Drosophila melanogaster: one gene and its partners. The protein of the gene in region 3 interacts with the protein of the main gene of each other region in a pairwise test. Each region holds a gene or a part of one and is shown on either strand. Other genes may lie near its edges. The genes, in order: Atg8b, spartin and Tbc1d15-17.

Region 1 (8,994 bases), on a different chromosome or scaffold from region 3:
TTACCACGATGGCCGTCTTATCGTCTTACTTGGACAACAAGGTGAACAGATCCTGGCGATACTGGGACGTCAATATGGCATACAGATAGGGATCCGCGCAGGAATTCAAGGGATAGAAGAAGACTAGCAATATCTTCGACTTGGTAACATTAATCAGTGGGTATCCGGCCAACGCGGTGAGTCCAAAGAAAGCAATAGGCGACCAGCACGCAAAGTTTGTAAAGACCTACAGGAAGTTAGTAGTAGTAGTAGAAGAAGTTTACATCCTTACAGTTGCAGTTTGGAAGTCTACTCACCAAAAGGGCCATCTTCTTGGCAACGCTCAACTCGCCCGGGCTATTCTGGTGGGCCTGCCGTGTCTCGCGACCCAAGGACAAATAGATCTGGGCATAGCAGACGGCTATGATGGAGAAGGCCACTCCGTTGGAGCCCAGAATGGCAATCAGGTAAATGGTGTCGTACACATCGCGATTTTCCATCGGAAGGCAAATGCTGCAATGAACGAGGGCCGAGCATTTGAACCACAAAGCTCGGGCAGAATGACATATTTACTTGCTCACCTCGTCGACGAATAATTACTTATGCCAAACAGGGGCAGCGAGGACATAAGCATCGAGTAAATCCAGCCGCCCAGCATGATGAGCGCTGCAGGACGCAACTTGATGCGATGGTTCAGGTACATGGCCTGCGTGATTGCCAGCCAGCGCTCGATGGTAATCACGGTCAGCGTGAACACCGACAAATGACTGGCGAACACGGTGAGAAAGCCGGCTACTTTGCAGCCAAGCCCTGCGGGAAAATGGAGAAGACATTGTAAGCTAAATCCATGCCGGCACCACAAAATCAGCTGCACCACCCACCGTACTGCCAATCGTAGGCGAAATTGAAATACTCCCCCATGGAATGCGCATCGATGCAGGCCACCAGCAGCAGATAGAGGCCCAAGCACAGGTCGGCGAAGGCCAGGTGGCACATCAGAAATCGCGGCACCGGCGTCGACTCCGGCCTGGAAAGGTAAGAGATTATAGGCACTTTAACAAACTAGTTTAAAGCAGTAAAAAGCATTCGTCGTAGGGTGAACCCTTGAAATTGTTAGACCCTCAGTTTCTCTGAGTGCCTTTGGCCAAATGGGAATGTAACGACTTACCTAATCGATAGTATTACTGTCAGCACAGCCACGTTGCCCACGACGGCCAGAGCCACCACAATCCAGACGGAAATACGCAGCCATTGATAGCCCATTACATCCTCGCAAGGATTTAGATCATTGGGCATGGGATAGCATTCAATATTGGGTTTTCTGCAGGGAATAATATCTCCTATTAGTACCGGACGTTGCTAAATGAAGAGAATATTAATTCACCTGAAAGTAAAATTGCCGCAAAGTTCGGCCGAGGAGTCATCACCCGGATTCAGGATGATCTTTTCGTGAAAAGTGCCCTTGTTCATGGTGTCATCGGCCATGTAATCGAAGGAAGCGAAAGTGATGGGGGTTATATCTGTTGCTGAGTCGTCGGTGCCACCGAAAGAACCAAAATCTTCTGGCATATTGAAGGGGTTATCCAAGGTTGATCTCTCCTTTCGCGTTCCGGAGTCACTTTTGCACTGCTTCCGCCATTTCTCAATCTCCAGCATCCGCTGGGCGTGTCGCTGAGGATCGTGCCGAGATGGAAACTGGAAGGCGCAGCAGTGGAAGGAGTGGGTGAGATAGGCCCTCTGCAGATTCTATAAAAAAAACGCAACTTTGGGCTTAAATTATTTGGTAGAAAGTGACTTTTACTCACCCGGAAGTTGTAGATGGATGGTATGGTCTTTAAAGTGTGGGTGTTCTGAATGTACAACGCTTCGATGTTCTGAAGTCCGGCAGAAGGAAGGCCAACTAACGAGGTGCTGGAGAGATCGCTATGGAGATACAAATACAAAGGGTTAAATCTTGCGAATGCAATAAAGATACAATTTCCAAGCTTACAGTTCAGTTATGTCTATGATGCCATCGAATGCGTTGGGATGCATCATTTGCAGTTTTTTGTTTTCCTTCAGCGATCTAAAAAGCCACATGATTAATAACTATTTACTATTTGAAATTGGGTTAAACTTGCAGTTTGGCTATCTTGGAGCCGAAGAAAGCGGAGTCATCAACGTAGCTTATTTCATTGTTTGTCAAAATTCTGCAAAGATTAGAGCTCTTCAGAGATTACTTGAATGTGTGGCAATAAACCATTTATACGTACAATTGGGCAGTCTTTACTTTTATAGATTTACTGTCTATCCGAGTGATTTGATTGTTATCGAGATCTCTGCGGAAAAAATAGGGTACATATTAGTACCACAAAGGGTAAGCTGGGTTTTGCTACTCACATCATTTGCAGAATATTATGAGGTGGCAGGTGGCCCAAGTCAGGAACTCTGGTCAGGCCACTATTTATGATTCGTCTGTGGGAGTAAAGTGACACTATTGTTAGACTGTGTTAACTTCATGAGCACACCCACATCCTTCCCGCAGCAGGATTAATTAAAATATTGTGTAATAAAGTTTAAAGTAAATAGTTCTACATTTGTATTTTGCCGTTAGCGCAGAGCAATTAAATCGAATATTTATTTCTGCATGATGGACAAATAAATTTTTCTACCATGTTCATTAAATTGCATTTTTTTTTTTAGCCAGAATGCTTTTGAGGAATGCTCGACATAGCAGACAATTTAGGCAACATATTGAAGTAGGAATGCGCACAAATCCGCGTAGATGGGCATTGAGTGCTATTTTTACCGATGACACAACATATTCCCCATCTTCTGGCCGAAAAAAAAAACCACACAGCTGTGTGTGCTTATTAACTTGGCCGCCACCCTACGAAGGCCCCATGATGAATGCCCCACAGATGGGGCATCTAGAGCTAGATTTGGACTCACATAATGTCCACGGTGTCCGAAATGCCAAGGAATACGTCCTTCGAGAGGAAAGTCAGCTTGGGTGCGTTGGTGATGTAGCTGAAAGGATAATAAAGGGTAATAAGTGAGTCAGTCAGTCGGTCGGTCGCTTGAAGCCGCCACTTAAAATCAAGCCTTACATTGTTCGCAATAGGGTTAAATTAGCAAAAGCGCCATCCTGTATCAGTTCCAGCTGCAGGCAGTCGGTGAAGGCCCTGCCAAGCCAAAGGACGATTAGTAAACGCATGGAATGAGGATATGGATATGTCGGTGGATATGTCTATCCATCGCAATATAACTCACACATCCAGCAACGTGGATCCGTAGACCTTCAGCCCCGTGTGGCGTAGGCGTGGCAGCCCCGCCGATGCGATAGTTAGACGCTGTATGGGCAGCGTCAGGGTTTGCGGTACGCGATTCAGTCCATCGCCCTCGCAGCGGCACTCCACCTCCTCCGCCTGCGGAAATAGTGGAATATGTTTTTATCCAGGTGCGTGGGAGTCGTGCAGTTGGGAAAGTAATAAATAATATAGCCAGCAGTGTTAACCTCATATTTCAACCTAGTTTCCTAGTATAATTCTAAAAATAAATGCGCAGGCCTTTCACTTACAACGACCTGCTATCGATGGCGACCCTTTGACATTCTGTGATCTTGAACTTTGGCTGTTAGTAGTTATTAATAAAGTTAGTGGGTAACTTCATTTTAGTCAAAATCACAACTAAAACTCAATGAACGTCGGTGGAAAATGCCATGTTGGCTGTTTGACTACTTCAATTAACTGACATTCGGAACTTAAAGGCTTAAAGTTGCTGTGGACACTCAACTAAAACAGGAGCCAACGGATCTGCCTTCTAGTTTCACTGTTTACCCAACCTTCAAGTTCTGCAGTTGACTTTGGAGGCCGCTGGCATAGCTGGTAAACATATAGAATTAAGTAGAAAGTGTGCGTCTATCAGTCACTTACTTGATTACTTGCATTCCAGCAACAACACTTCCAGGCGGACCGTGGCATCGTCGCGGTCAGGGGCGTGTCCGTCGATTGAGCCAGCGATACGGCCGTGAGATTGGGGTAGACATCGAATCCGTGGTGGATGTCGTGACAGTTGTTGGCACTCAGCGCCCCCCCGACGGCACTAGTGGCGTATACGAAATGCCGGCCACTCAGCGACGTTAGCAGCAGATGGTGGAGAAGCAGGCGGCACTGGAACTCGAATGACAGACACTTCAGGCCCTTCCTCGGACGGTAAGTGGTACCCATCCGCTGGGACAGACTCGGGTGCTTTTCCATGGCTCTCACTGTCTTTTCCGTCCAGCGATCCTAGGTACATAATGTTCGGCTCATTTCCTCTGCAAATATCCGTAGCCGTAAACACTTCTAATTAGTTTTGGATGCGCGTCTGCATCTTGTAGCCGTAGCCTGTGCGGAACGAAATGGGAACGACCAGGAGCCGTTTCAGTGAGTGTCTAATGAAGCCATCAAGCTGATGATAAAGTTAAATAGCATCGAGCAAACAATTCACTGCCATCCCTGCTGATCCGCAGATATTTGGCATGTCGCGAATTGGACGGTCACGTTGTGAGGCGCGGACGCGTGTTTGATTGATTTTCAAAACCGTACAAAAGCCAGCGACAAATCGAATAAATTGAAATCAGTTGCGAACAGCAGCCAGCAAATTTCTTGGGCAAGCAATTACAGTGAAGCCCATGGGCAAGGAAATATGGTCGAGAGGACACTGACTTACTTGGCTAAAAGGGGCTGGCAAACAGAAGTTGAGCAAATATCGAATGGAGTTCGTTAATTAACATATGCTATATGCAGGCATAAAGCTCATATTTAATCCATGGTATTATTTTTAGACACCAGTATGCGTAAATATTTCGGGTCACGTTTTTTTGGGGGCCTATAAAATTTCATTTCTCTGTTTTATTGCTTAATTTTAGTTCTCGCCCGCTAATTGAAACATTCAGTTTTGTGTAATTAGTGCTGCCATAAACCCAGATTGGCTGGGAGCTCAGTTTTCGGTGGATATATCCCCATATAGCCCATATCCCAGAACCACAACTATTTCTGTTTGAATTCTGGCCGCTTATCAGAAACCTCAAAGAATGCCGACAGCTGTGCGCCATGTTTCAACCATGTTTCTTAATTAGCCAATATTTGTTCTGGCATGTGCTCCAGCTAGCTTTATGGCGTCGATCTTTCGCCCGGAATGCACAATCTGGCTATAACTCTGGCCCTCCGTTAAAGGTAGAATTCCGAGTTAATTAGCACCTACGGCTGGGCGACCTCCGGCGGAATGCGAAAGTTACCGTGAACCTCTGCCGGAATTCAATGGCAATCGTTGGCCATGAAGCAGATAATAGGCAACCGATTTTCCAATGGCAGTTGGACACAAAAAAAAAATCATCACGAAAATCCAAATATGTGACGCACATTGCTTAGAAAATGATAGAAAAAAAATCATTTGAATATACAAAATCTATCATTGGGCCATCGGACAAAGCCAAGAAAATGAGTTAAATCAATTATTTACACAATATTTCGCTTGATTGGCAGCTCTGGCTGATTATTTGTATTTCGAATCAACACCGAATAGTTAGCAGCCGTTCAATTGGATTAAATCCACTCTGACGACTCTTGCATTCCATTTAACTAATTCCCCTTTGAATGGCGGACACCAAGTTGGAGTAATTAAACCAGGCGGACACGATTAAGTGGGAGGAACGCCAAAGATTCTGGTCCAGTGAACGCAATGCTCTCATATTTGGACCCTAAAAAAAAACGGTTATGGTGTCGTTTTTAACGAATTATTGTTAATTGCCGCATTAACAACATGGTAAAACAAGTCAGTTTGAGTTTATTAGGCGCAAGTCGCAATATTGTTCATATAAATCAAATTAGAATGTTCTAGTTCAGTGGCCAGAAAAGCTTCAATTTTTACCTACCTACCTAATTGCTCTGTTATTTCTTATGCACTTTTCACGAGAAAAGGAGAAAACAGATACGCATTTGTTTTATAAATCAAATTAGCTTTTGCCAGTTGGCTGACCGCAAAAACTCGTGTGTGTGTGTCTCCAAGCCAACAAAGTGCATTTTAATTTGTTTTAAAATTGTATTTTGTGCGTTTAGAAAGCGCATGGCCGTTTCTATCTATCCAGTCAAAGAAATCTCTCTGATTTTTGAAGTCTATTAGCATGGACTTATTAGCAGGTATGCGGTAACCACATCACAAAATCCGTACGTTTCTATCGAATCTCAGATCATCTCACAAACGAATGGGCTCTGGACTGCACATTTCTAGGTGAGCTAAAGCAACACCATTAGGGCGATTACTTTTGCGGATTGTGGAATACAATTGGTGATTTGTTTCGCACCCGTGAGTTTAATTAGCAATTGCCGCACACAATCAGTACACAGGCACACATAGATTAGTTGCCCGTGTTTATGGCTAATCGCCACTAAAATCAAGAATCAATTTTGGGCAAAATGAAAATTGATAACTTTATGGCCTGGTTTTTCAGCAAACACACACAACACATCAAAGGAGAGATCGTGGGACTAACAATTTTTTCGACCATCACATGAGCGTATAAACTCTGAATTATAATGGATTTTCCGAAAGATTATTTCACACACACGCCTTTTTCTAACGAATCGAAAGGGTCCGTTCTTGGACATGTTGCTCACCGGAAGCGTAAATATCCCAGGTATTTTGCAGTTGTCTTCGTCCGAACTGAAGTGCACCTGTTGCAAGGGATTACGCCCAGGCCACAACCGGAAACCAGCGATGCACGAACTGCTCCAAGTAGTAGTACTGTGAAGTAGAACGACAAACTGAACTGCCGAGGCACCGAACGCGAACAACCGAGCAGCTCCAGCAGCTATGGCGGAATGAGAGCTCCAGCGCTGTCCGAGCGACGAGCAGCCAGCGACGACGGAGCCCAACAACACATCTGCTCCAGCTTTGCGTGTGTTGCGTGCATTGTTGCCGTTGCGGTCGGTACAGGTAAAAGCTTTCGCAGTTGTACGCCCCCAGCACATACACTTGTTGAGCTCCCTTGTGGTCAGCGCCTTGGGAGCCTTGATTGTAACGTCTTTGGGCCAATTGTCGCCTTGGGGCGGCCTGCAAAAAAAGGTTCATAGAGCGGTGCCAACTGCAGGGATTTATATAGTTTTTGTCGTATTACAAAATATTTAATTAAATCAATGAAAATATATAAAATAAATGCGCCAGTGAAGTATGGAATGGAAAGTTTCTAGCCCGAGGAGTCCTGCACAGCACATTCGTAGTGCGATTCCAAGGACACAATTACAATTAACAGTTTAAACGGTAATGGGATACTTCAAATTAATTAATTGGAGCGATGCATGAAAACGATACAAGAAATATGTGTGTAAGCACCATGAAAGCCCCTAGGGAAATTTGGCACTCATATATAAGTAGTTCTTCTTTAATTTAGAATTTCCAACAAATTTCGTATGTTCCTGATTGGTTAAAGGTATAGATATACTTTTCCATGAATAGGAATGAATACTAAACCTGATTACAATCACATTTTCCCTCTCCCATTTCCCATTCAAATCCGAGAAGAGCAGGCACTTTTCTATCTGCCAAAGCTATCTGTGCAGTAAAGGTGATAAATCATACATAGTTCCCAGCAACTCAGGCCGGCAGCTACATAAGACCTTCGTACCAAATCCAAAACGAAAACCCATTTTTCGCTCCGTTTCGATTCGAACCGTATTCCAGTCCGCCCAGATGGATATGAACTACCAGTACAAGAAGGACCACTCGTTCGACAAGCGCCGCAACGAAGGCGACAAGATCCGGCGCAAGTATCCGGACCGTGTGCCCGTCATCGTGGAAAAGGCGCCGAAGACGCGTTACGCGGAGCTGGACAAGAAGAAGTACCTGGTGCCGGCGGACCTGACAGTGGGCCAGTTCTACTTTCTCATCCGCAAGCGTATCAATCTGCGTCCCGACGACGCCCTCTTCTTCTTCGTAAACAATGTGATCCCACCGACATCGGCCACCATGGGTGCACTGTACCAGGAGCACTTCGACAAGGACTACTTCCTCTACATTTCCTATACCGATGAGAACGTCTATGGACGGCAGTAGACGCGGGCTTGACTCGCGTAATCGTTTTGGCGGTCGGTTGAGTTTCAATTGTCATTTTTTGCCATTGGCACTACTCGCTCAATAAAGAATGACTGCTCCTAGCCAGCTAACCAGAAGCAGACAACGTCGTCATCACATGGCACATGCTGGGCTAAACAATAATTATCGCAGTATGTGCTTCCCCCGCGTTGGAAGTGGGTGCATAGCATCCGCTAATCCCTTGCCCCTGGTCTTGCCGCAAAAAGTTAATTGAAGCGCTCGAAAAAACATTTAGTGGACTCACTGCTTCGGCTTAATTATAATTCACATATTCGATAGCCGTATGGTTTGCTTAAGTTCACTAATTGATGAAAATATGAGACATAAAACCAGTTTAAATCGGGCAAAAGTGTGCTCCAAAGGCGTGCAATAAGATTCAACAAGTTGGTTTATGTGTCGCATGAAGCCAAGTCCAATGTGGTGAGACAAACTTGTTGACACCGTGTCCATGGATTAGCGAAGGAAATTTTTATATCATAATTTCGAATTGATTTTATTTCTGTTTTATTCCGTCAGACACCCACCCACAACTTCCAAACCCTTTGATATACAGCTTTTGTTTATCAAACTAATCTACATGGGCTGTATTCTTCGAAAACTTCCAGATGGTTATATGGAAAAAGTAAATATAAATATATGGGTTCACAAATAAATTCGATCTCCCTCGCGTTTAAAAATTGGAAAGTTCAATAATCAAATTGATTATATTTCAAATGAAGAAGTTGTTCATTTGACAGAGATTACAAACTGCGTATATTAGATTAGTTCACATGACTTACGTGAAGATTGTAAAAATAGAAGCTCAAATAATGAATATCTAAGGTTAAACAAGACTTCACAGATACATGTCGACACACAATTCACTGTGAAATGGAGCGGAATTGATATAGACGTTTAATAATA
Region 2 (11,193 bases), on a different chromosome or scaffold from region 3:
GCCACTCGGATTCCGAAGTCTCGCTCCGGCGCCACATGGCACCGCCACGCCCACGCCACACCAGCCAGAAAACCCCACCCACTCTGTTGACCTTGGGCAGATGGCAAGCATGGTACCGCTTCCACCCAAAGTTCCACCTGGATTGCTAAAAATACCTATTCAGAATTGTGACTTTGCTTTTCACTTGAGAGATGGAAATAATCGAGATCCGTTTTAAATTGTTTCAGAGCCCAATGTTGTCAAGGTGGAATTGTATTTACATATATAAATAATATTTATATATTTTAAAATTACATCGAATGGATATGTACAAAAACCATTTTTAATTCCAGGAAGCATACAACAATCTTTCAAGAGAGCTGAAGGTGACGCATCTCCTGGGCAACATCCAAAATGGCCAGCAGTCGGAGGAGGCTCGACAGATGGCCGCCGTGTTGCTGCGCCGCCTGTTTACCACCGAGTTCTTTGATTTCTACAAAGGGGTAGGCATAAAGCCGCGCAGAGAATCGCCCTCTGAGCATCTTTCTAATATTACCTCATTTGCAGCTTCCAGCTGAATCCCAGAACCAATTGCTTCAGCAGATCCTTTTGGCCGTGCAGCAGGAGGTGACGCCGCAGCTGCGTCGCAAGATTTGCGAGGTAGTTGCCGAGGTGGCCAGGAATCTGATCGACGAGGACTGCAACAACCAGTGGCCCGACATCTTGCAGTTTCTCTTTCAATGCGCTAACTCGCCTACGCCGCAGCTGCAGGAATCGGCACTGCGGATCTTCTCTAGTGTGCCTTCCATATTTGGAAACCAGGAAGCTCAGTACATTGATCTGATCAAGCAGATGCTTGCCAAGAGCATGGACGCTGGATCCGATCCGGAGGTCCGAGTACAGGCCGTGCGAGCCGTCGGAGCCTTCATCCTCTACCACGACAAGGAGAACGAGACGGCCATCCACAAGCACTTCGCTGATATGCTGCCCCGCATGATCCACATCACTGGCGAGACCATCGAGGCCCAGGATGATCAGAGTCTGCTAAAGCTCCTGATTGAGATGACCGAGAATTGCCCGAAGTTCCTGCGTCCCCAGCTGGAGTTCATTTTTGAGGTCTGCATGAAGGTTTTCAGCTCGCAGGACTTTGAGGACAGCTGGCGTCACCTAGTGTTGGAAGTTATGGTGTCGCTCGCCGAGAACGCCCCGTCGATGATACGCAAGCGAGCGGACAAGTATATCGTGGCCCTGATCCCGCTGATTCTCCATATGATGACGGATTTGGATGATGACGAGAACTGGTCCACCGCCGACGTGGTCGATGATGACGATCACAGCGACAACAACGTGATCGCCGAGTCCTCGCTGGATCGCCTCGCCTGTGGATTGGGAGGAAAGATTGTGCTTCCGCTCGTAATGAACGCTCTGCCGGTTATGTTGGGTCATGCCGATTGGAAACATCGCTTCGCAGCCCTCATGGCCATCTCGGCCATCGGTGAGGGTTGTCACAAGCAGATGGAAGCCATCCTAGATGAGGTAATGTCCGGAGTCCTGAACTTCCTGAGCGATCCTCATCCTCGCGTTCGATACGCCGCTTGCAACGCCATTGGCCAAATGTCCACCGACTTTGCACAGACCTTCGAGAAGAAGTTCCACAGCCAGGTGAGTCTTAAATTGCAACTGCTTTATCAACTTTCTAATAAGCAATTGAAATTAATTAAATGCTTAACAATTTTCCCTTGTTTCGCCAGGTGATTCCCGGCCTCTTGTCTCTTTTGGATGACGTGGAAAATCCGCGAGTGCAAGCACACGCAGGTGCCGCTCTGGTGAACTTCAGCGAGGACTGCCCGAAAAATATATTGACACGCTACCTGGACGGGATCATGGCCAAGCTGGAGACTATTCTGAACTCGAAGTTCAAGGAGCTGGTGGAGAAGGGAAACAAGCTGGTACTGGAGCAGGTAGTGACGACAATTGCATCGGTTGCAGACACCTGCGAATCGGAATTTGTGGCCTACTACGATCGCCTAATGCCATGCCTTAAGTTCATCATCCAGAACGCCAACTCGGATGATCTCCGCATGCTTCGCGGCAAGACCATTGAATGCGTGAGCTTGATAGGATTGGCGGTGGGGCGGGAGAAGTTTATTGGTGATGCCGGAGAAGTCATGGATATGCTGCTGGTCAATCACACCGAGGGGGGGGAACTAGCTGATGATGATCCGCAGACCTCCTATCTCATCACTGCCTGGGCACGTATGTGCAAAATCCTTGGCAAGCAATTTGAGCAATATCTGCCCCTCGTTATGGGACCAGTGATGCGAACGGCCACCATGAAGCCTGAGGTGGCGATGCTGGACAACGACGAGGTGGAGGACATCGACGGTGATGTGGACTGGTCTTTCATTAATCTTGGCGAGCAGCAGAACTTCGCCATTCGCACGGCTGGCATGGACGACAAGGCTTCGGCCTGTGAGATGCTGGTTTGTTATGCTAGGGAACTAAAGGAAGGATTTGCCGAATACGCTGAGGACGTGGTGCGTCAAATGCTGCCCATGCTTAAGTTCTACTTCCACGACGGTGTCCGCACAGCTGCTGCTGAGTCGCTGCCTTACCTTCTCGACTGCGCAAAAATTAAGGGTCCACAGTATCTGGAGGGCATGTGGATGTTCATTTGTCCGGAGCTGCTCAAGGTAATCGTCACGGAACCGGAGCCAGACGTGCAGTCGGAGCTGCTGAATTCGCTGGCAAAATGCATTGAGACATTGGGTCCGAATTGCCTTAACGAGGATGCCATGAAACAAGTTCTCGAGATTATAAACAAGTATGTTCTGGAGCATTTCGAGCGTGCTGACAAGCGTTTGGCGGCTCGCAATGAGGAAGACTACGACGACGGTGTGGAGGAGGAGCTGGCCGAGCAGGACGACACAGATGTTTACATCCTTTCCAAAATCGTGGACATTACACACGCCCTTTTCCAGACCAACAAGGCTCAGTTCTTACCCGCCTTTGAACAGGTGGCTCCGCACTTTGTCAAGCTACTGGAGCCCAGCCGACCTGTAGCTGATCGGCAGTGGGGCTTATGCGTGTTCGATGATCTGATCGGTGAGTTGGTTTTCTTAATTGAGTTTTGCAGTTCAATAGTACCGCCGATACCTTCAAACATCAAATCATTTGTGCCACCATAAAACTAAAGACTTGTATTCTCATTTACCTACAGAATTTTGTGGCCCCGCTTGTGCTCCATACCAGCAGATCTTTACGCCAGCCCTCGTCCAGTACGTGTGCGATAAGGCCCCAGAAGTGCGCCAGGCGGCTGCCTACGGATGCGGGGTGCTCGGCCAATTCGCTGGTGAGCAGTTTGCGCATACATGCGCCCAGATCATTCCACTGCTGGTGCAGGTCATCAACGATCCCAAAGCCCGCGAAATCGAGAACATCAGTCCGACAGAGAATGCGATCTCGGCGTTTGCTAAGATCCTCAAGTACAACAACTCGGCGCTGAGCAACGTGGACGAGCTGATCGGTGTTTGGTTCTCATGGCTGCCGGTGTCCGAGGATTCGGAAGAAGCCGCCCACATCTATGGCTACCTATGCGACTTGATTGAAGGCAACCATCCGGTCATTCTTGGGGCAAACAACGGCAATCTGCCGCGCATTGTCTCCATCATCGCTGAATCCTTCTGCACCAAGGTGGTTGAGGCGCAGTCCGCCACCGGCACTCGTATGCTCACTATCGTCAAACAAGTGGAATCGAATCCGGAGGTAATGGCTGCTTGTGCCAGCACCTTGAGCCCGGAACAGCAGCAGGCGCTGCAGGATGCCTACCGGGAGCTGGCAAACGTGGCTCCCGCCTAAGATATCGCAATCCCAATCCTCTTCAGACCAAGTCCATTCATGTCGACCAAGCCAAGAAAGGAACGATGGATGCTTCAGCTACTCGTTATCATTATTTTTCATCTTACCGAAATTTTGAAGTATATGTTTAACACATAGATATCCATTTATACAGATATACATTTATGTGTACAATAGAGTTATCCGGGTATATAATTCTATACATATTGTGATTTTAATCAAAACTCTTCTCCCGAAGACAAAAGTCTGCCTCGTTAGAATTTGATATGTTGTATGGATGCGATCCAAATGCCATCCCAATCACACCCAAATTCCAATAGAATATTTTCGTTACTCAAATTTTCATATGTTTAATACATATGTGTGTATATACGGCCCTAACGGCCGCCTCTCCCTGCGGGGAAAACAGGATGTAAACGTTGTCCGAATCGAACGAAATATAATTTTGTGCATTCAAACCAGGATCGACAAATATATTTAAAGGAATAACATTTATTGTATTTTAAACATGATAAAAACGAAATAAATAACAAGTAAATCGATATTTTAATTGCCACGAGCTTATGTTTTAGTATTGCTTTTTATTATTAACCATTCATTCAATTTCAAATTCGATTCCCGCAAAAGACTTTTCAAAAGTCGTTGTGGCAACTCTGTCTGTGGCAGTGAACATGCAGAGGCCTCCTAAACAGCTGATCTGATTCGCAATGGAAAGTAAGCAAATCAAAACAAAGATGGAAAAACTTGGAACATTCAACTCGAATGGAAAACACACATTTTAACATGTTATTTACGAATTTAAGTGATATTAGGCAAACGATATTCTCACTTTAAAGGTGTGCGACTAAACAGGAGCAGAAAATAATTCGTAAAATTAGTGAGAAAATAGCGAAAGAGAGCGTTTCTCTGTTTGCTTTCTAAATCATTAGGTGACTTGGTGGGCAAAGTGCAGATTAAACGCTCAGAATCAGACGAAACCAAAACCCAAAGGTGAGTGAGTGCAACAGGTAGACGGTGAGTGCAGCGGAAGGGCGGATGCGGTTTCGTTGGCCACAGTTCAATTTAGAGCAGCTGCAGGAGAAGATGTAAAAGCGCGTCATTCCCACTTTGGTGACGCATTTTGGTCACCCTTTTAGTTGGTCGCGGTTGCCCGCCTCGTCGGGATGTATCTCTGCCAGCAAGTTCGTTTACAATATCTTAAATCTCACGAATATTAACAAAATATGTAGTAATTTGCACTATAAGACTTACACAGAACTTTGCGAAAGGGGGATTCATAAGAATAAAGACAGCACATAGAACATGTATACTAACTAAACCATAAATAACCATAGTCATTGACTTTAATAGATTCTTAGTTCTACATACTAAAGTTTTGAGGGCTTTGGTTTTTTGTATAGTATCTAATGTTTCTGTGCTGTTTCTTAGGTATTAAAGGCCGCGATGGCGGAGGAGGAAAGCGAATTCCTGGAGGCCTATGCTGGCATCAGAACAGCCTACAAAGCGGCCATGACTCAGGTGGACCTGGCCGTAAGTCACGAGGAGCAGGAATCCCCCGGCCAGGCCATTGTGGCCTATGAGCTGGCCCTGCGTATGATAGAGGACACCTTCGGCATTCCAGTAGGTCTTCCCAACAAGATCGACACCGTGCAGGCGGAGTGGAACGACGCCTGTGCGCTGATCCAAAAGCTCAAGAGCGCCGAAACGGAATTGAGATACCGCCTCAAAGTTCTGCGATCCCAGAAACAATCCATTGATGATTCAGCCGTGGAGGCCACGGAGGAAAGTCGAGCAGAGATGGATACAAAAAGGCCGCCGTTGCTGGCGGAAAACCCCTCCACGCAATATGGCATAGCCAATGCTAGCGGAGCACCAAAAACCTACAGAGAGCTCGCTGCCGGCTTGCGGGAGCTCTTGGCTGTTCGGGACGCCAAAGTCTTGCTCGATGAGCTCTTCCGTGCACAGGTCAAAATGTACCGAATCGAAGCCAGTGGATCAGTAACCACCATAAGCGGCTCGTCAACTATGTCATTGGTAATGTGCACCGTGGGTGGCAAATGGAAGTACCTCAGTGGCATCTACTTCATTCAGTGCTCCATGCCAAATGAGGGGACTGCAGGGATTTGGCTTTACCCCCTGGTTCCCTCGATCACAAACTGCTACCAAACAGAGTACGGAGCCTTTATTTTTCCTGATATGGAGTGCCAGCAGCCGGGCAATGCATTTGGTTTGATGCTAACGAAGGAGGGCCAGACATCGCGCACGGAGGACGAACTGGAGGATCTTCAGCAGTTCTTTCTTGACCTGTTGGAGGCCGTACTCGCTGGCACGGTAGTGCAGCTGAAATCGCCGACCTCCCAACGTGCTGGCCTAGCTTCAGATACCGTTTCCGGGTCGGAGCAGGTGTCCAGACACATTGTAAGTGCGGCTGATTTCATTGCTAGTAACCTGGTACGGGGCGCCGAGAAGACAGGAGGCTTTATGCTTAGGAGTACTCCGTATATCATTTCCAAGATGACGCCAGCCTCGATGGATGCTCAGGTGCCCAGCTCCGTCCAAACTTCAGGTGAGTTAGTTCCAAATAGGGAAGAGCTGTATTTAGGGCGGAAGTATGGTAGCTTCCGAATGAGCATGTAACGATAAAATTAGAAGATAAGATTCGAAGTCGAAGATGTGATCGTCACTACACTTCCACCTCGATCGGAGTTTGTGCTTGTGTTTGATAATCATGTTAATCAATGGTTTGGAAATGTGCAGATTACATATAAGATAGATCTAATGTATCTTATGTTGTAACCTTTTGTTCATTATAGTTGAGGTGGCCCAAAAAGTGACGCACGCCGCAGCCGGAATGACAGGATGGATAGCTGGAAAGGTGGGCACTGCTTCAATGGCAGTCGGCCGCTACCTGGCTCCCCACATTCAGGAGCAAGGCTCTAAACTGCTGCAGAAGGGATTTGGCTACGACACCAGCGAGGCTAATAGCACCATGGAGGGCGCCATGACCATCGCGGCAGGAGCCGTGGAAGGAGTGAGCACCGTATTCGATGGCCTCGAGACTTCCGCCAAGATCCTAGGCTCCAGCCTCAGTGAAAACTCCGTCAAGATAATCGAACACAAGTGGGTTGGCTTTGGCTTCTTAATGCTTATGCAGTTTTGTAACAGATGTCATTACGAATTTTCGTCCGAATTGAAAGTAATCACTTAGGCTGGCAACGGTTTATTCAATTTAAATATATCTGAGATTTAAGTTATGCGCAATGTGCAGAGGATCGCAAAAATGATCAAGGATCGGGAAATGTTACTCAAGCTTGCACACAAAGAAAAGTTTTATAACTTGTTGTGAATCGTCTCAAATATGTAATGCTACTAAAGGTCTACTAAGATCTAGATATTCATTTTGGGTTTCTTTCGCCTTCGAAAAAGAAAAACATATAGTGCGGGCATTTTTAATATTTCATATATTTACATATATTTATTTGCTATTTCAGATATGGCCAGCAGACGGGGAATCTGGCTAGTGGCACCTTTGACACGGTGGGCAACGTTTTCGTGGTCAGTCAGAACGTGAACTACATAACCCCGAAGGGCATTGCCAAGAAAATGGTCAAACGAACAGGAGAAGCTGTGGTCAGTGACTACAAGCGAGACTTACGCAAATCGGAATCTCATTATATTAATGCCGGATCTCTTTATCCGGATCTTCGAGCTTTGAAGGAATAGCGGGAAAACCAAAGGAATTTATCACATGTTATTATTATTATTATTATTATTATTATTATTATTATTATTATTATTATTATTATTATTATTATTATTATATTGAAATATTTATATGCCATTTATAGCTTCTAATTAAAAGAAAAAATATAAATAAATATTATGTTCAATAACACATAAAAAAGATATTTCGAAAGATTTTGCATCAAAACCTTATTTTAGTGTTCAAAAATGCTTTACTTTTGTATTTGTAGATAAACCGAAGCTAGAAAGTATTAAAAAGAAAAATGTTTAATTCACTTTGTATATTTGTATAACCTAAATTCTAGCTTCCTAGCACTCCAACCGCTAAGTATCGGGTATCTTTTGTTTTTAAATTAAAATGTCCTGATTTTTGATACACAACTCAGTCCTCTTTCACTAATTTAAAAGAATTAACAATTTTAGCAAGGAATTTAGTATGAACGTACCATGTAAATTGTGAACAAATGTTGATCTAAGTATCTTTAGATTGACGATCAATAAAAAGCCGTCTAATTTAGCGGCTTTAAATCCTCGTAAGTACTGTCATAGCTTCCGATCGCCTGAAGTTACAGACTTTTGAATCTTATATTGTTGAAAAGGTTATGTTATTTGCATTATTTCCTAACCATTTCCTAAGACTCTATATAGCTATCTTATTCCTTATTCTTTTTTCCTATCTTAAAAAGCACTCTGATCAAGCAAAAACTTTGCGGAACGAGTCAAATTTTATATAAACAAGTTAGGAATTTATATAACGAGCGATGAACCCCACATATATACTTTGGCGAAATATGGTAAAACTTCACGTTTTGTTTTATACACGAGATATAGAATGTGATATTCTATAGGTCCTAAGTGTCATATATCAAGGAGCCCATATATTTAGTTAGGGTTCAGCTCCCGAATCAGAACATAACATAACATGAATGACTATAACCCCTATTGTTGGTAAAACTTTCTCCTAGACTATATTTACATTTACCTTATTATAGTCCTTTTATCCTATTAATATTTATATTAGGAGAATATAGGAATATGTATACTCATATTATTGTCAAAATCATATGAATACATTTTTTTATATATATTTATTAAAAAGAATCCGTACATAATTATATTGTATCTTAGCATCACAGGGTGGAGATTTATTCTTAAGAATTACCAGTCGATATATAAAAAAAGTAAAGTAAATGAATACATTTGTTTTCAAACGTTAGCTCTCGTGCGAGTTCCATTCTGAAAATAGGAATGGGTGTTTAAATCCTCACATGATTAGTGAGAGGTTTGGTTTTATCATTTATATGTTAATTGCGCTGTTATGTTGCTATTGCTGCATTGTATGGATTCATCGCTTCTAAATAAATAAATTTAAAAAAAAGGAATGGGTGTAGCATACTTTCGGGACGCGCAATAAAAAATTATCTTGAAATTGGTTTGGTTTTAAACTCCGCCATATATCATTATATAATATTATATATTATTTGATCCCAAAGCTTCATAGATTGATCCATCAGCGTCTCGTTGATTTTTGTATGCAATACTTTACGTACTAATTCAAAAACCGAGAAAGTTGTTAATTATTTTGAAGGCTTTTCGCCGAACAACGTAACAAAAAACGTAAGAGCGTACAGAGAGACCTTGCCTGCGGACAGATAAAAATACCGCTCGTAGTCCGATTCGACCCACCTCAACTGATTCAGCTGGCCACACTCCGCCCCATTTTTATATCCACAAATTCCTACGCTCGGCAGTACGTTTTGAACTCGGCCAAAAGGAGGTGGCTAAGAGTTTAGCGCGGCACGCAAGCACATAATTCCCCGCTCGGACGTGATTTCGCCCCTTGGTACATGAATACATGTGAATGTGTACATATGTGCGCACGGGAAATAAGGCAGGAAAAGCCCAAAGCCACGGAGTTCGGATCCGAGAGTCTTGCGTTTTGTTTTGCGCAGCACTGCACCTGTGCAGTGTAAAATCGTGAATTCAGTCGAGGTGCAACTGCGGCGCTTGTGCGGTTGAGGGAGGAGAGTTGGCAGAAGTGTGTTTGTGTGTGTATGTGGGTGGGTAGTGCCTTTTATTTCCGATTTTGACGGGAGTCCAATCCACCAAGCTGAGTAGTTGCAATTACGGCGCGGCGGAAAACTGTTTTTCTCGCTCACAAATACATATGTACAACCTGTATAAACAACAACGACTGCCGTAAACAGCCAACTGCGAACGCAGCAACAACAACAGTTCTAACAACAGTACACAAGCAAACACGTTTCCCGTTTTATTTTCTGGCCCGCGTTTATTAGTGTGTGTGGGTGCGCCTCTGTGTGCGAGTGCGTATGTGTGCGTGTGTACGTGTTGCTCGCTCGAGTATAGAAATTTCTAATGATTTTTGGCCTGTTCCCGAAAAGCAGCTCCAAACAACAACAACAACAACTTTAGGACTCTGCAGTGGCTGTTCCAATTGACTCGCCATTCTTTTGAATTGTTTTTATATATGTAATTGAACGCCGAAAAACAACTGTGTAAAAAACAGCATCTGTGCCAGCAACGAACAGAGCTTCGAATTTTGTTGGTAAGTGTTTTCAGCTTCTGCACAATGAATAAAGTAAATAATAAGTGAATAAGTGATTTCAAAATCTGCATTTTGAAACCGTAAAAAGTGTAGAAAAGAAAAGTGTAAAAAGGTAGCCAATTGTCTTAGTAACGTGCTTATTTATGCAATTTGTAACTATTGGCTTGAAGTTTACATAAAAAAAGGTCCATTCGAAAAATGAAGACTAATATCTTTCCTATCTTTCCTAACGGATATCAAAAAGTAGGATTGGGTAAAACACATTTCTCTCGGAGATTTTTCTTCATTGAGCGGATCGCTTAGATCCATTCATCTGACGCAACAGTAGCAGCAAAATAACGTTGTGATGACCAGGACTAGGGATATGACCTCAAGCAGCATTCTGGGACCTGGATCATGTTGGTCAGGCGGAACTTGTAGATGGAGGCTCGTGTTCTGGAGTGAGGCTTGTGAGCTTGAGTTGTACATTCTTGCGATCCATCCACCGATCTGCTGGCTTTCGAATTTGATGTTCGACAAATGTGTCTCAAAAAAATTTCGACACCCTCGACATGCGTTTCTGTGTTGGCTTTGATAGGTTTTTTCCCCAAAACATTTTCACTTTGCATGCCAATTTTCTCACCGCTCAAACTTGCAGCACTCGGGCGCCTAGTCATTTATTTGATATCATCATTATCGTCATTGCCCGAGCTACAGGCTACAGGTTTTTAGCTAATAAGGTAATGGCAAAAAGACGGGGAAAAACGGCTGAATTATAATCGAAAGAAAAAATCCATCATTGGAAAGTTGGTTTAATTGCATTTGCGGAATGCAGCTGTCAGGGTTGCCTAGTTGTGCGACAGGGCGACGCATTTTTCGCCAGCCGCGCACTTGGCTAATATTTCAGGCTTCATGCTTCATTTGCGTTACGAGCGGACCAAGTCGACTTTCGGAGCAAACCCGGCGGCAAGGGCGTTGGACTAGATTGGATCGGGTGGATTGGATGATGAAGGTGATGGGACAGGAGAAAGGTATTTGAAAGGGCTGGAGTGGGTTACACACTCCCC
Region 3 (11,472 bases):
CCCCAATTACGAAGTGGATCCAAAGTGGCTGGAGCAGATGCAAAATCCCATGTCAACACCGTCACCAAGGCCCGCATCAATGGAGAGCGGCTACGGCTCCTCGGCAGTGAAATCACATGGTGGTCGTCCATTATCTAATTTGAGTAGCACCTCATCATCGTCCCACACCCAACAGCAATCATCTGCAGCTCAATCGCAAGCGGGAGGGAACTCAGGCAGCTCAAAGAAAAATTCCCGCCAACAAACTGCGGCATCAGCTGCACTGGATCAAGCTGCCTTACAATTTGGCTCCTTAGCGGGTCTGAATCCCAGTCTGTTAGCAAATCTTCCTGGACTGGGCGCATTTGATCCCAAGAATCCTCTTGCTGCATTTGATCCCAAAAATCCGTTGCTATCCATGTCTTTTGGAGGAATGCCCGGAATGGGTAATATTCCTGGACTAGGTAACCTGAACAACATGAACCTATTTGCCAGTTTGGCAGGAATGGGAGGATTGGGTAATCTTGCAGGGATGGACACTCAGTCGCTGGCTGCGCTCATGGCTGCTGCCGGGCCAACTCTTGGCGGATTAACTGGTGCATCCGGAGGAGCGGGCTCCGGCAAGAGCCAGGCGCAGTCGCAATCATCCGCCACTTCGTCATCCTCTTCGGCTAGTAAAAAGAAGCAGCAGCAACAGCAACAACAGGCACAAAATGAAGCTGCTCAATTGGCAGCTGCTATCAGCGCAAGCACTGGAGGATCTGGCGCATCAGGGGGAAAGAACGCAGCTGCTTCTGCATCACAATTGGCGGCCGGATTTCCATTCCTATTTCCGAATCCATCATTGCTGTATCCGCCCATGGGACTAGGTGGCCTGAATCCGTATTCCCTTGGATCTAGTGGACTTGGTTCCGCATACGATCAGTTGGCTCAGCAGTATAACCTGCTAAATGGAGCTACTTCATCGGCCTCAAATACGAGCTCCACGCAGTCTAAGTCGCATCAGTCGCAATCAAAATCCAGTCAGTCCAGGAATACCACAGCATCTGCCAACTCAGCAGCAAGTCTGATGAATGCTATGGCCAGCATGGGCGGTGGCGCTAGCACAGTTACCACGCCTTCAACTTCAGCATCAGGATCCGGACGTGGCAGGCAATCAAGCAGCAGAAATCAGTCCCAAACCACACCCACAGCAGCAGACATGGCTCAACTCAGTAGTCTACTTATGCCAGGAGCGGATCCGCATCTTCTCGAGTCCTTGAGCCGTATGAGCAACATGGATTTGGCGCAGGCAACACGTCTGATGAGCTCCCTGGGAATGCCGCCTCTTTCAGGAACGCCGAGCTCTTCTGGTGGAGGTAACACATCTACAAGCAAGAGAAGCAGCCAAGCCGCAAATGAAGCTAACGTTCAGGCCAAGGAACAGCAAAAGTGGTTAGAAAGTTTAGCCCGAGGAGCTCTGCCAACTGATTTAGCCGCGCTTCAAGCTTTCTCGCAAGGCAAAATGCCATCAACATCCGGATCAAATACGGGAACATCCACTTCCTCTAGTAAGAGCTCGAAAGCAGCTGCGACAGCAGCGGCAGCTCAATTACCACAAATTCCTGGCATGTCCAGCGATTTCCCACAGGCCTTTTTAGCTGAAATGGCTGCACAGGCAATGGCGGCTGCGGGGGGATCCCTTCCTCTTAGTGGTCCAGGTTCATTAGCTAGTTTGGCTGGCTTAACTGGTGGCTCTGCTGGAGGTGGTGGTTCTTCTGCCTCAGGAAGCACTAGCCACTCTTCTTCGAAACGGCAGCGTGAACAGGATGCCTTTAAGCAACAGATGGACTATTATACCAAGACCTTAGGTCTGGGATCAGGAATCTCGTTGATACCCACATCCTCGGCGGGAGGATCATCTGCATCCTCTAGTGCAGCAAACGCAGCAGCAGCTGCGTATGCTGCAGCTTTGGACGCAGAGCAACAGCATCAACAACAGCAGAAGGCGCTATCCAAACGAGCACGTGGGGATTTACACCCCACAAAGGAGGAATTGGCCGCCCTTGCGGCAGGCTTACCCCTTAATCTTGGTGCCAGCATGAGTAGCATAGAAAAGAGTCTAAGAGGCGGAAGCAGTTCCAGTAGCAGCTCTACACCAGCGCCCATGACTGCGGAACAGGATAAAGTTACATTGACTCCCCTTAATGCCTCTGGAGGCGGATCGGGGTCCTCTTCCAGTTCAGCAGCTGCTGCGGGACTGGCAGCTAATCTGCCCAGTCAAACTACAATAACCATAGCTCCTCCCATTAGCAGTGGAGCCAGCACTAGCAGCGAGCGTTCCGAACGCTCCGAGTCGCGCATTTCGCTAACCATAACAAATGCAGCGGATGCCGCGAAACTACCGCCGCCCTACGAAGAAGCCGATGAGCTAATTATACAGCCCATACTCAAAAAGCCTACCGCTGCCAATCCAGGCAGTAGTCATGGCGGAAGCGTGGACGATCTGGATACAGCTGAAAATACTTCAGCTGCTAATCTGAGTGGCTCATCCTCCAGTTCTGCAGCTGCTGCGGCTGCAGCGGCGGCTGAAGAGAATCGACGTTCCTCCAATCGCTTGAAGCGTCCGAGGTCTGGTAACGAACAAGGATCTGGTTCCGTGGAAGGACAACCGCCTGAGAAGCGACGGGAGTTGCGATCCACTCGTCATACACGCTCTTCGGCAGATGCCAGTACGCTTAATCTTTCAACTGGAAGCGAATCGGGAGCGGAGGAACGGAACGAATGAGTATTGCGCAGATCCGAGCGCCAGCGCTAGCAGAATGACACGGCCCATACTAAGGGCCGGAGAAAATCGCGTAGAGGAGAAGCCAATCCGGCCAATACATGCAAGTCACCGGAGCAGAAAATCAACAACAGAAAGATGATGAGAAACCAGCTGCAGATGCGGATGCAAACGAGATCGAGGCGAAATTTAAATGCTAGGTTAACTGTTACCACTAGATCCCTTAAGCTTAAAGTTGTGTAAAGTATAAGAACCATATATAATCTATATATAGAGATTAGGAGCCAATTTGGAGAAAACGGATTTGGGTTTGTCTCAACGCCATAAAGTTCGACACTGCTGCAACTCCGTCTGAACTGGAGGGCAGAGCGCCTTACCCATGACTTACTCAAGTTTCATCTGCTGCTTATATGGTGCTTGATAAGTCAATAGTGTCCCTTCCTCTGGCTGCTTAATTATTTATATAATTACGAACATAATTAAAAAGCGCTTATAATTTAATTGTAACAAGAGAAACAAAGTGCTGTTGCACGACGAGGATTTTCCGTTTAAATTATTGCTAAAACGTATAATTGATAAGCGACAGAAAAATGTTTAAACAAAACACTATCCATGCATAAAATGTAGAGACACATATACTTGGGTTTCTGGCGCTGTCCTGGCACATGCAGTCTCTATACATATATAATACCTGTACATAATTCATAATCTTAAAATGACTCGTATTGCTTAACTGTTTTTAATATAGTAAGGCACCATGTATTCTCCTCAAACTAAACCATTTTCCACACTTCCATCCCCAATATGTTGTATACTGAACTCTCTATTCTTTATGTGTGTCCCCGAAAGCTGCGTGTAATTTTGATCATTTTAATTCTGTAATTAGTAAATGTGAAAGGATGGAATGCTAATGGCGCAAATCAATCTTTCAAGCGTATATTTTAAACTCTTGTATTTGTAATTCGTATGTTTTATTATACACTTGTGTGTCCCATGAACCACCGACACCAACATGCAAGTCCTGGCGCGTAACTAACAGGTGGGAAGTGTTTATTGAAAAATAGAATTTTTTAATTAAATCAATTTTGTTGTAATTGAGAAGCCCGAGAATATGAATCTTGCACGCTTGATGAGCAGCAATGCAATATTTAGGTCATTTTGTATAATTATTCAGCTGAGTAAATGAATTATGGACAAATTTGATCCGCACTTTATGAGAACAATTTATTTTGAGACGTTAACAAGGCACACAAAAAAAAAGCAAAACAAACAACCACATATATTGCATACTTAATTTGTAAGTATTACTCGTAATTAAAATTATTATATAACTGCAGAACAACAAACAAAAGCAACATCAACCAGAAGAAGCAACAACAGCAAGAAACACCCAAGCATCAACTATTGATATTGATGATAAATAAATATATAAAAAATAAATTTTAAAAATTACATTAACATACGATTTATTACTGAGCTCCTCGATTTTTAGACGTGTTAAGGTAGCCTGGTCAAGTCTGCGATTCGTATGCCCTTAACGAAACTTTTCCGCAAGGCATTTGCCTTGATCACGCCGTACCGTTCCAGGATATGGCCACCCGAATACAAATGGCAGTCAAGTTCTTGATGGATTAATTCCGAAATGTATCCTTAAAACAGCATATAAAAAGCAATGTTCTTTATGTGTGAATTTTGGAGTTGTATTTTAGATCTTTTTGCTATGCATTTGTAATGTACTTGTATACGGATGTATATTCACAGTAATTGACTAAACTTAAAAAAAAAGACAGGCGTGTTGAAGTCCGATAAAGCAAAGTGATACCTAAAATGTTTTGAGTTCACAGGCACGAGAACTAATTTCTTTATATAATTAGAGGTGATCGAATATAGGATGAGGGTGTTTTGGTTTTGAGGTGAGGAAGAGAACTTACAATAATTACAAAAAAGTACAAATGTATAATATACAATATATAAATCAGTGTATCCGCTTGGCCCGCCTCGCTTAGCTTCGATGCGAGAGTAAACTTTAAGTCTTATAGTCTAAGCTAACACTGCTCCAATGTTTTGTTTACCAAAATATGATTTTTTTTGCGGACGCTTACGGGCGACTCGTGTTAAACACGGAGAAACAGTCAGATTCTCGATTGATCTTTTTTGTAACAGTGAATTTATATGAGCCACAGTATTAATAGATACGACCCACAGTTTGCAACCGCAAATATAATCTAGTTAGGCAACCATCTTGAAGGGCAGCGTAATTTGCGCATACTTTTCTGTGGGCTATTGGCTTTGTTTTTTCCAGGTGTCCATCGTTTTTATTCCACTTTAATTAGTGGAACTGAAGGAAGAGGGAGCGTTCGCAGGCCTCCTCAAGCAAAGCTTGCTGCCTAACCTTCTCTTCGGGAGTGAGCTCTTTCACCAATTCGTCGAAGCCATCGTCCGAGTAAGTAGGTTCCTCATCTACCATGCCCCCATCAATCTCTTCACCAGCGGCTGCTGGCAAGAGTGGTTCGCCAATGATGCTACGTATGTCATTGGGCAACGTTTCAGAGCCCTTGAGCTGCAGATAGATACCCTCAGCTACCTGCAAGGTTTTTTGAACATCTATGTTTCCAGACAGTTCGTTTACATGCTTCAGGATTTCTGTGAACTCGTACTGGCTGTCGATGATCACTCTAGTCTCTTGATCGAGGATGGCCACCGAAAACAGTAGGTGGAAGTTGGGGCAGGGTAGCCGAGTCCACAGACATTCCCATAATTTCAAAACGTCCTCGCTGTTTAGCTCCCGCTTATACCAAACCAAGAGCCATCTGAAGCAGAAGTACATGTTGTCCGAGTCGTGGGATCTCATGTAGTTAAATAGCGGGGCATTGGCAAATTCAATAAGGCGACGAATCTGGGCGAACTGCGTTTTCATGCCCGCCTGGTCTATGTCAAAGTTGGTAAACACCAGCTCCATGAAGCCCACAAAGCACCAGAAGGTGTCCACTTCGTTTACCTGGATCTCCAAAATGGGCGCAAGCAGATCGGACATACCCTGAACATAACCAAGGTCAAAGTTATACATCACGTATGTCATAAGGATACCCTGGAGAAGGGTTAGATTGGGATTATCCTCTCCGGCAAAGAATTGCAAAGAGCGATCTGTGCGTTTCACATCCTTTTCAATCTGGCACTTGCGCTCCCGGTAGCCACAGAAATTCGCCTCCTGGGTCGTAGTCATAGCAAGCCACTGGGCCTTCATGTTGTAGTACTCAATAGACTTTTGCTTACGACGCTCGATCCGCTCCACATGAGTATCCGACCAAAGGTAGTAATTGAGAAGGAACTTCCAAACCTCTGGCCGCAGGCTCTGCACGACGCCGCCGCGGAAGATGAGCTCCTTGATTCGGGCGCTATCGGAAATTCGGCCGTCGGGCGTCTGAAACTCTAGCCACTGCGTCTCGGTTAGGGGATGACCTGTCCATTAAAAATATATTAATAAACTCATGTTCGGAACCCTAAGAATTATTTCTATTAGTAAATTCTTAAGCTTTTTAAGTGTCAAGAACTCTCTTTTAAGAATTAATATCAACCCACCTCTCTCCACCCGCTGGCGATCGGGCAAGTTGTTAACTATTTTTTCGTCCTGGGCATTAAGAGTTTCCAGCTCGCTGTCGGCGGGAGACTTCTCTGCACTGCCCCCACGAGACTGTCCGTTTGAGGAACAGGCACTATTGGTGCTGCCACTTAGCCCAATTATTTGATAATTGTCCGGTGAAGTCTGCCGATCGCCAGAGATCAAGACTCCCGGCCTAGATTTGGGCGAACGCTGGAACGGAGGCTGTACGTAATCGGGAATGTTGCCCAGGATTCCGGCCAGCTTGTTGGGCAGCCAGCTCTCACGTGGCAATTGGCTTGCCTTAATCTGGCCAATGTCAAGTTCAGCAAACGTCTTTTTCAATTTTTGGTTCTCGGTGGTCAATATGGCATACACCTCGCCGCCACTGCGACTAGTCTCGGCGTTCTCGATTAGGTGCTGATCGCGCATGGAGCGCACAAATAGGTCTGCGTTTCCATGCTGGAAAAAGAACTCGCTGTGGACGCCATTAGCCCCTTTCCGCATAAAACGGATCGTCTGTCCGCGATGGCGCACCTCTACAGAAGACAAATCTTCCAGTTGGGCACGCATGACTCGCGAACGGGTGGTCGCTCCACCGCTCGGTTCAATGGGTCTAGTGTTGAAGGCACGGCACTCGGATGTGGTGCGTGTTCGCCCGGAAATCCTGTCTACCAGCGCCCAGTCTCCCTGATCCTGGCTGTCGTCCGCAATCATGATACTGTCATTGGGCTGCCACTCGAGCAACAGTCTCCTACGGGGCATTTCCGCGATGGATCGCGAATATTCCACCAAGGAAAGGGAGCCGCTGGTGTTCAGATCCGCGATGTGCTCCGCACTGGCTTTCTTCAGAAGCACGCCGTCGTGGGTGAAGAGGATCTTTGGATCGTGTAACGGAATAACATAATGGCAGTAAGGAAGGAACATCCATGAGTCAGGTGAAAAACGAGACACTTACGTTTCCCGTTCCCTGCTGAGGCAGATTCTGCACGTCCTCCTCCACAGAAGACAACTGCGACTCGTTGAAAACGCCCAGCTGCACCTGGTGACAGCGGTCATATCGCACCGATTCGTCCATGGCTGCCGGCAATTATGTCTTCTTGTATTATAGTTCAAATTAGCCTGTGCTATTACGTTTCAGATATAAACAATTGTCCCACGAAGGTGCTAAATTTTACATGTCAGCGTTTTGTATGGGGGTATTTTATCACCGAGGTAAAAATGGCCACATTCCGTGACATTTTTCCATCGGTGTGGCAGCCTTAGTTTACAAGAAGTCTGGCAGCGAAATTAGTCAATTGCTATTAGAACTGCAAACTGCTATTAGCCAATACTTCATCGTGTTTCCGTTCTCGCAGGGTCTGGAATCTCTTTCTTTTTTATGTCTTTTGCAATTTGCGGACCATATGATAATTTACTTGGATAAGGGGCCAGGCGAACCAAAAAATATCGTATCTCTAGAATTCCTCGAAACGGCGTACGCTTTGCTCTGCTCTCTAGTCTGCAGTTCAATTCATAATTAGTTTGTATAAAAACTTGTAATGATTTTATCCTGTCCGCCTACCCCGCATAATCACTTCATAACATTTCCAATCGAGAGTCAAGTAATTCGCAGAGCAACAGAGCACGATCAATTTAGTTTCTCTCGACTCTCGTCGATTTCACCGAGAACAGAGATCATTTTAAAATAAGCAAACATATCTAGTTGTATTTTGTAAATAGGTTAAATGAATCCGTCTTATTTGATAATGATCTTCGTTGCCTCTTCTGGGTGTTTTGAAAACTCAGAGTTTAGTTCGCCCGAGAACGTCGGACAAAGCACAAGCACTCGACAATTTTAAAATTATAAAATATAATGACACATTATCAAAAAATATAAGCCAAATATAGGTGGGTGAAGAACATTTTAGAGCTAAGCTAGAATAAAATAGCTTAAATTTTCCAATACATATACGTATATTCCAATTTTAATTCGGTGCGAAAAAACAAGTCTATAACGTTAAGTTCGAGTTATATAATTAATGTTAGCAAAATGGCCTAAGAATGTCAACAAATGCGATGCATCTCCTACGTAATTGGACTTTTCCCAAAGTTTCCAGACGTTAATAATGTAGTAACTTTACATTTTAACTTGTGTGAGTTTTGGCACTATTTGTCATTGGCATTATTTTTTTGCGGATTTTATCAACGAATGAACAACATGAACAACAACCTTATTGCGAGCAGTTGTGGACGAAAAAAAATCCCTTAACAGATTTCTACTTCTGTTACGAAAAGTAAAAAACTCTCATGATGGTTGTGATATCACCATCTGGCTCTCGAGCTCTCCTGCTCTGAGATTGGGCAAACAAAAATATTTATTTCGTTATTTTGAGAGCAAGAAATATCCACAGAGCAAAAAACATGAAAATCGGTGCGCCAGAAATAGCGCCACCCACTGAAAGTTCAAAAACTAAATTGACTTACACGGTATTTTTAACAGAGATAGCGATGTGTGCGATTCTGTGTCAGTTCTTTAAATTACTTTCCTTGTTTTCAGAACCTCATGGACAAGTCAACGCGGCCTAAACGAAATCGTCGACACAGCAGGTAAGATTTGAAAAATTGTTTTTGGGATGTAGTTATTCTTTTTGCGTGCTTTTCCAGACGAGCCTGGCCACCAGAGGAGGAGTTGCATCCAGCATCCCGAGCTACAAAGAGATTATTTACTCCCGACATTAAGAGGATGCTAAAGGACTGGTTAATTCGTCGCCGGGAGAATCCCTATCCTAGCAGGGAGGAGAAAAAACAGCTTGCTGCAGAGACTGGACTTACTTACACTCAGATTTGCAATTGGTTTGCAAACTGGCGAAGAAAGCTTAAAAACTCGGAGCGAGAGAAAGCCAAGAAATCCTGGGGCCATCTGATCAAAAATTACAATCACAATGCAAGGGGTAATGTGGAACAATTTAGCATCTCGTCGGAGGATAGCATTTGGGAGGAGGAGATGCACTCATGTCCTGCGGAGGATGACGAAGGCGACGATAATGAAGAGTTTTCCAGCCACAGTACTGGTAGCGATGGCAATGCCAATAATGAACCTTCATCCCCATACAAGCCGATATTGTTTGTAGGATCTGCAGGTCTGACCGAGCGGATATCAGCACAAACAGGGGGTAAGACCAAGTACAAGCATCAGATGATGGAAAAGTATATGCGAGATAGTTCCACGGCAAAAACGACCAGTCAACAGGGTACGCAACTCAACAAGTGGCTGGAAAGTGCAGCAAAATTCACACCGGACAGGAACAATTATCACATCGAGTGGAATATGACCAGGTAAGGCAATTCGGGGCTGGTATGGTGAATTTTGATAAATAAAAATCGATTCACTTTAGGCAGAAAGCTAGCAGTAATAGCAGTTGTGGACAAGCGATCTTTACCACAGATGTGTCTGGGGCTGGTCGTGGTGGACGCTGGATGCTTCATCATAAGGACGAACTGGAAGCAGCAGAGGCCTTAGCCAACCTCGCCTTCAACTGCAGGCAGCGCTGGCACCATATCTAAAGACTGAAGACTCCGGAACTGACGCCATCATTCCAGCAGAAGTTTCAGGCCCCGCTAAAACGTGCAATCTAGTCAAGTGGGCTTCTTCTGGTTTTCATTTTCGAACTTTACAGTACAATACTCACTCGTTACATGATTTTCTTCAAGTTTAAAACCTTTTAGCTACACTCATTTAAATTATGTGATAAACTACGACGATCATATTCATGTAAACGTGAAAACCAGGTTGCGCCGAGAGTTAAGAATTACTACAGCTAGTTTAGAGTGAAAAACAATTATATAATTTTTGATTTCTTGTTATATAACAAACTTGACTTTTTTGACTTCTACGTAGACTTTGGCGTTTCCTCATTCATCTGGTTTTTAGCATGGACATCAAGAACTTGCACAAAACTGTTCTGATGGGCCTGCAGTTGCTGAATAAGGTGGCCAGGTGCTTGACTAAGGGTCTGGACAAGTTGTGCCTGGACCGCGTGCAGGCCGGGCATCTGAGCGTAGGCCACAAGCTGGTTCCTACTCAGCATGGTCTCCTCCACGATGCCTCCCAGCAGGACCATTTGCGGCACCCTGCGAACGATTCGTAGCAGTGCGGCAGTCTTTTCCGGGTCCGGTGAGAAGACGATGCAATGATTGGAGTGGAACAGGGGCACAATCGCTTCGTATCGAGTATTCTTCACCGCCTGTTCGATGATCTTGCTGCCGTAGGACTTGAGGTGCAGGTTCTGCTTGTGAAGCTGAACGCGCACGCGGAAGATGTCATCGGCGGTTATAGAACTTAAGTGAAAGAAGGCAACCAGTCGGGAATGATCCAGCCAATTCCGCACCTCTCGTGCGATGATTTCGTTGTATGGATTCTCCTGCTGCTGTTGCGTGCGCTCCGCACGCGTTTTGAAGCAGCTCTTAGCTTTTGGGAGTTCCGGATATTTCGGCTGCGTGACTGCGACTACCCGGGCCCGCTCGTAGTGCGGTGCTTTCGGCCGCTGTATATTGATCTTACCCCTAAAGCGAAGAAATTGTAGCGCAGGAGTACTGCTCTTAGCCAGGGAAAGGCCTAAAATCATTTACACATCAGTAAAAGCTTGTACATAGATGTTACATGTTACACAACAGGCCAAGCTCAAAATGGCAACCGCTATGAACCGTCCAACTTACTTCTTTGTATCAGGGTGGCCATGCTGTAGAACTGTATTAAGGTATCTAATCTCTAAAACTAGAACTTCTCCTTATTTAACTTTATTTTTACTAAAACGATGTTTATTCATTCTTATCGATAGCCAGATATTTGGTTTCATCGATATTTCGCCGGCTAGCGTTGCCACCTCGTCGAGCCCTTCTTCGGTTACAATTAAGTTTATTTTAGTTTAAAGATAAGATTAAAAAAAATAAATAGTCAGTAGTTTGTTTGATTAAATATTACAATTTTAATCATGTGTGAGAACTATTTACTTTAAACCTATAAGGTTCTCACACGATATAGGAAATGTGCCGAGAGGAGAATAAGAAGACGAGGTAATTTTTTTTGCTAATCCTGATTTGGACATGTGCTCCCGATTTTAATCGATTCCACACTGCATATAGCTTGGTA

The links.
Region 1: the proteins of Tbc1d15-17 (region 3) and Atg8b interact in a two-hybrid assay, tested with the Drosophila melanogaster proteins (one large-scale study listed by BioGRID).
Region 2: the proteins of Tbc1d15-17 (region 3) and spartin interact in a two-hybrid assay, tested with the Drosophila melanogaster proteins (one large-scale study listed by BioGRID).

The regions. Positions count from the first base shown.
Region 1 is NT_033777.3:17,723,606-17,732,599, reverse strand, and holds Atg8b (Autophagy-related 8b), read left to right. Parts: upstream 1-7,536; 5' UTR 7,537-7,689; coding exon 7,690-8,052; 3' UTR 8,053-8,190; downstream 8,191-8,994. Other genes in the region: Lgr1 (Leucine-rich repeat-containing G protein-coupled receptor 1), read right to left, coding at 30-226, 297-492, 561-789, 861-1,006, 1,148-1,300, 1,364-1,725, 1,785-1,902, 1,970-2,044 and 7 more.
Region 2 is NT_033777.3:4,650,253-4,661,445, forward strand, and holds spartin (spartin), read left to right. Parts: upstream 1-4,547; 5' UTR 4,548-4,827; intron 4,828-4,906; exon of another isoform or gene 4,907-5,018; intron 5,019-5,265; 5' UTR 5,266-5,280; coding exon 5,281-6,403; intron 6,404-6,650; coding exon 6,651-6,957; intron 6,958-7,328; coding exon 7,329-7,560; 3' UTR 7,561-7,733; downstream 7,734-11,193. Other genes in the region: Karybeta3 (karyopherin beta 3), read left to right, coding at 333-482, 547-1,641, 1,731-3,084, 3,200-3,837. UniProt on the Drosophila melanogaster protein: During postembryonic development, functions with endocytic adapter Eps-15 in neurons to restrain synaptic growth, by inhibiting BMP signaling, and to control synaptic endocytosis. Required presynaptically for neuromuscular junction (NMJ) neurotransmission.
Region 3 is NT_033779.5:203,459-214,930, reverse strand, and holds Tbc1d15-17 (TBC1 domain family member 15/17), read right to left. Parts: upstream 7,753-11,472; 5' UTR 7,420-7,752; coding exon 7,300-7,419; intron 7,221-7,299; coding exon 6,323-7,220; intron 6,203-6,322; coding exon 5,073-6,202; 3' UTR 4,425-5,072; downstream 1-4,424. Other genes in the region: kis (kismet), read left to right, coding at 1-2,746; CG11617 (uncharacterized protein), read left to right, coding at 8,887-8,930, 8,988-9,659, 9,719-9,887; mRpL10 (mitochondrial ribosomal protein L10), read right to left, coding at 10,214-10,938, 11,040-11,061.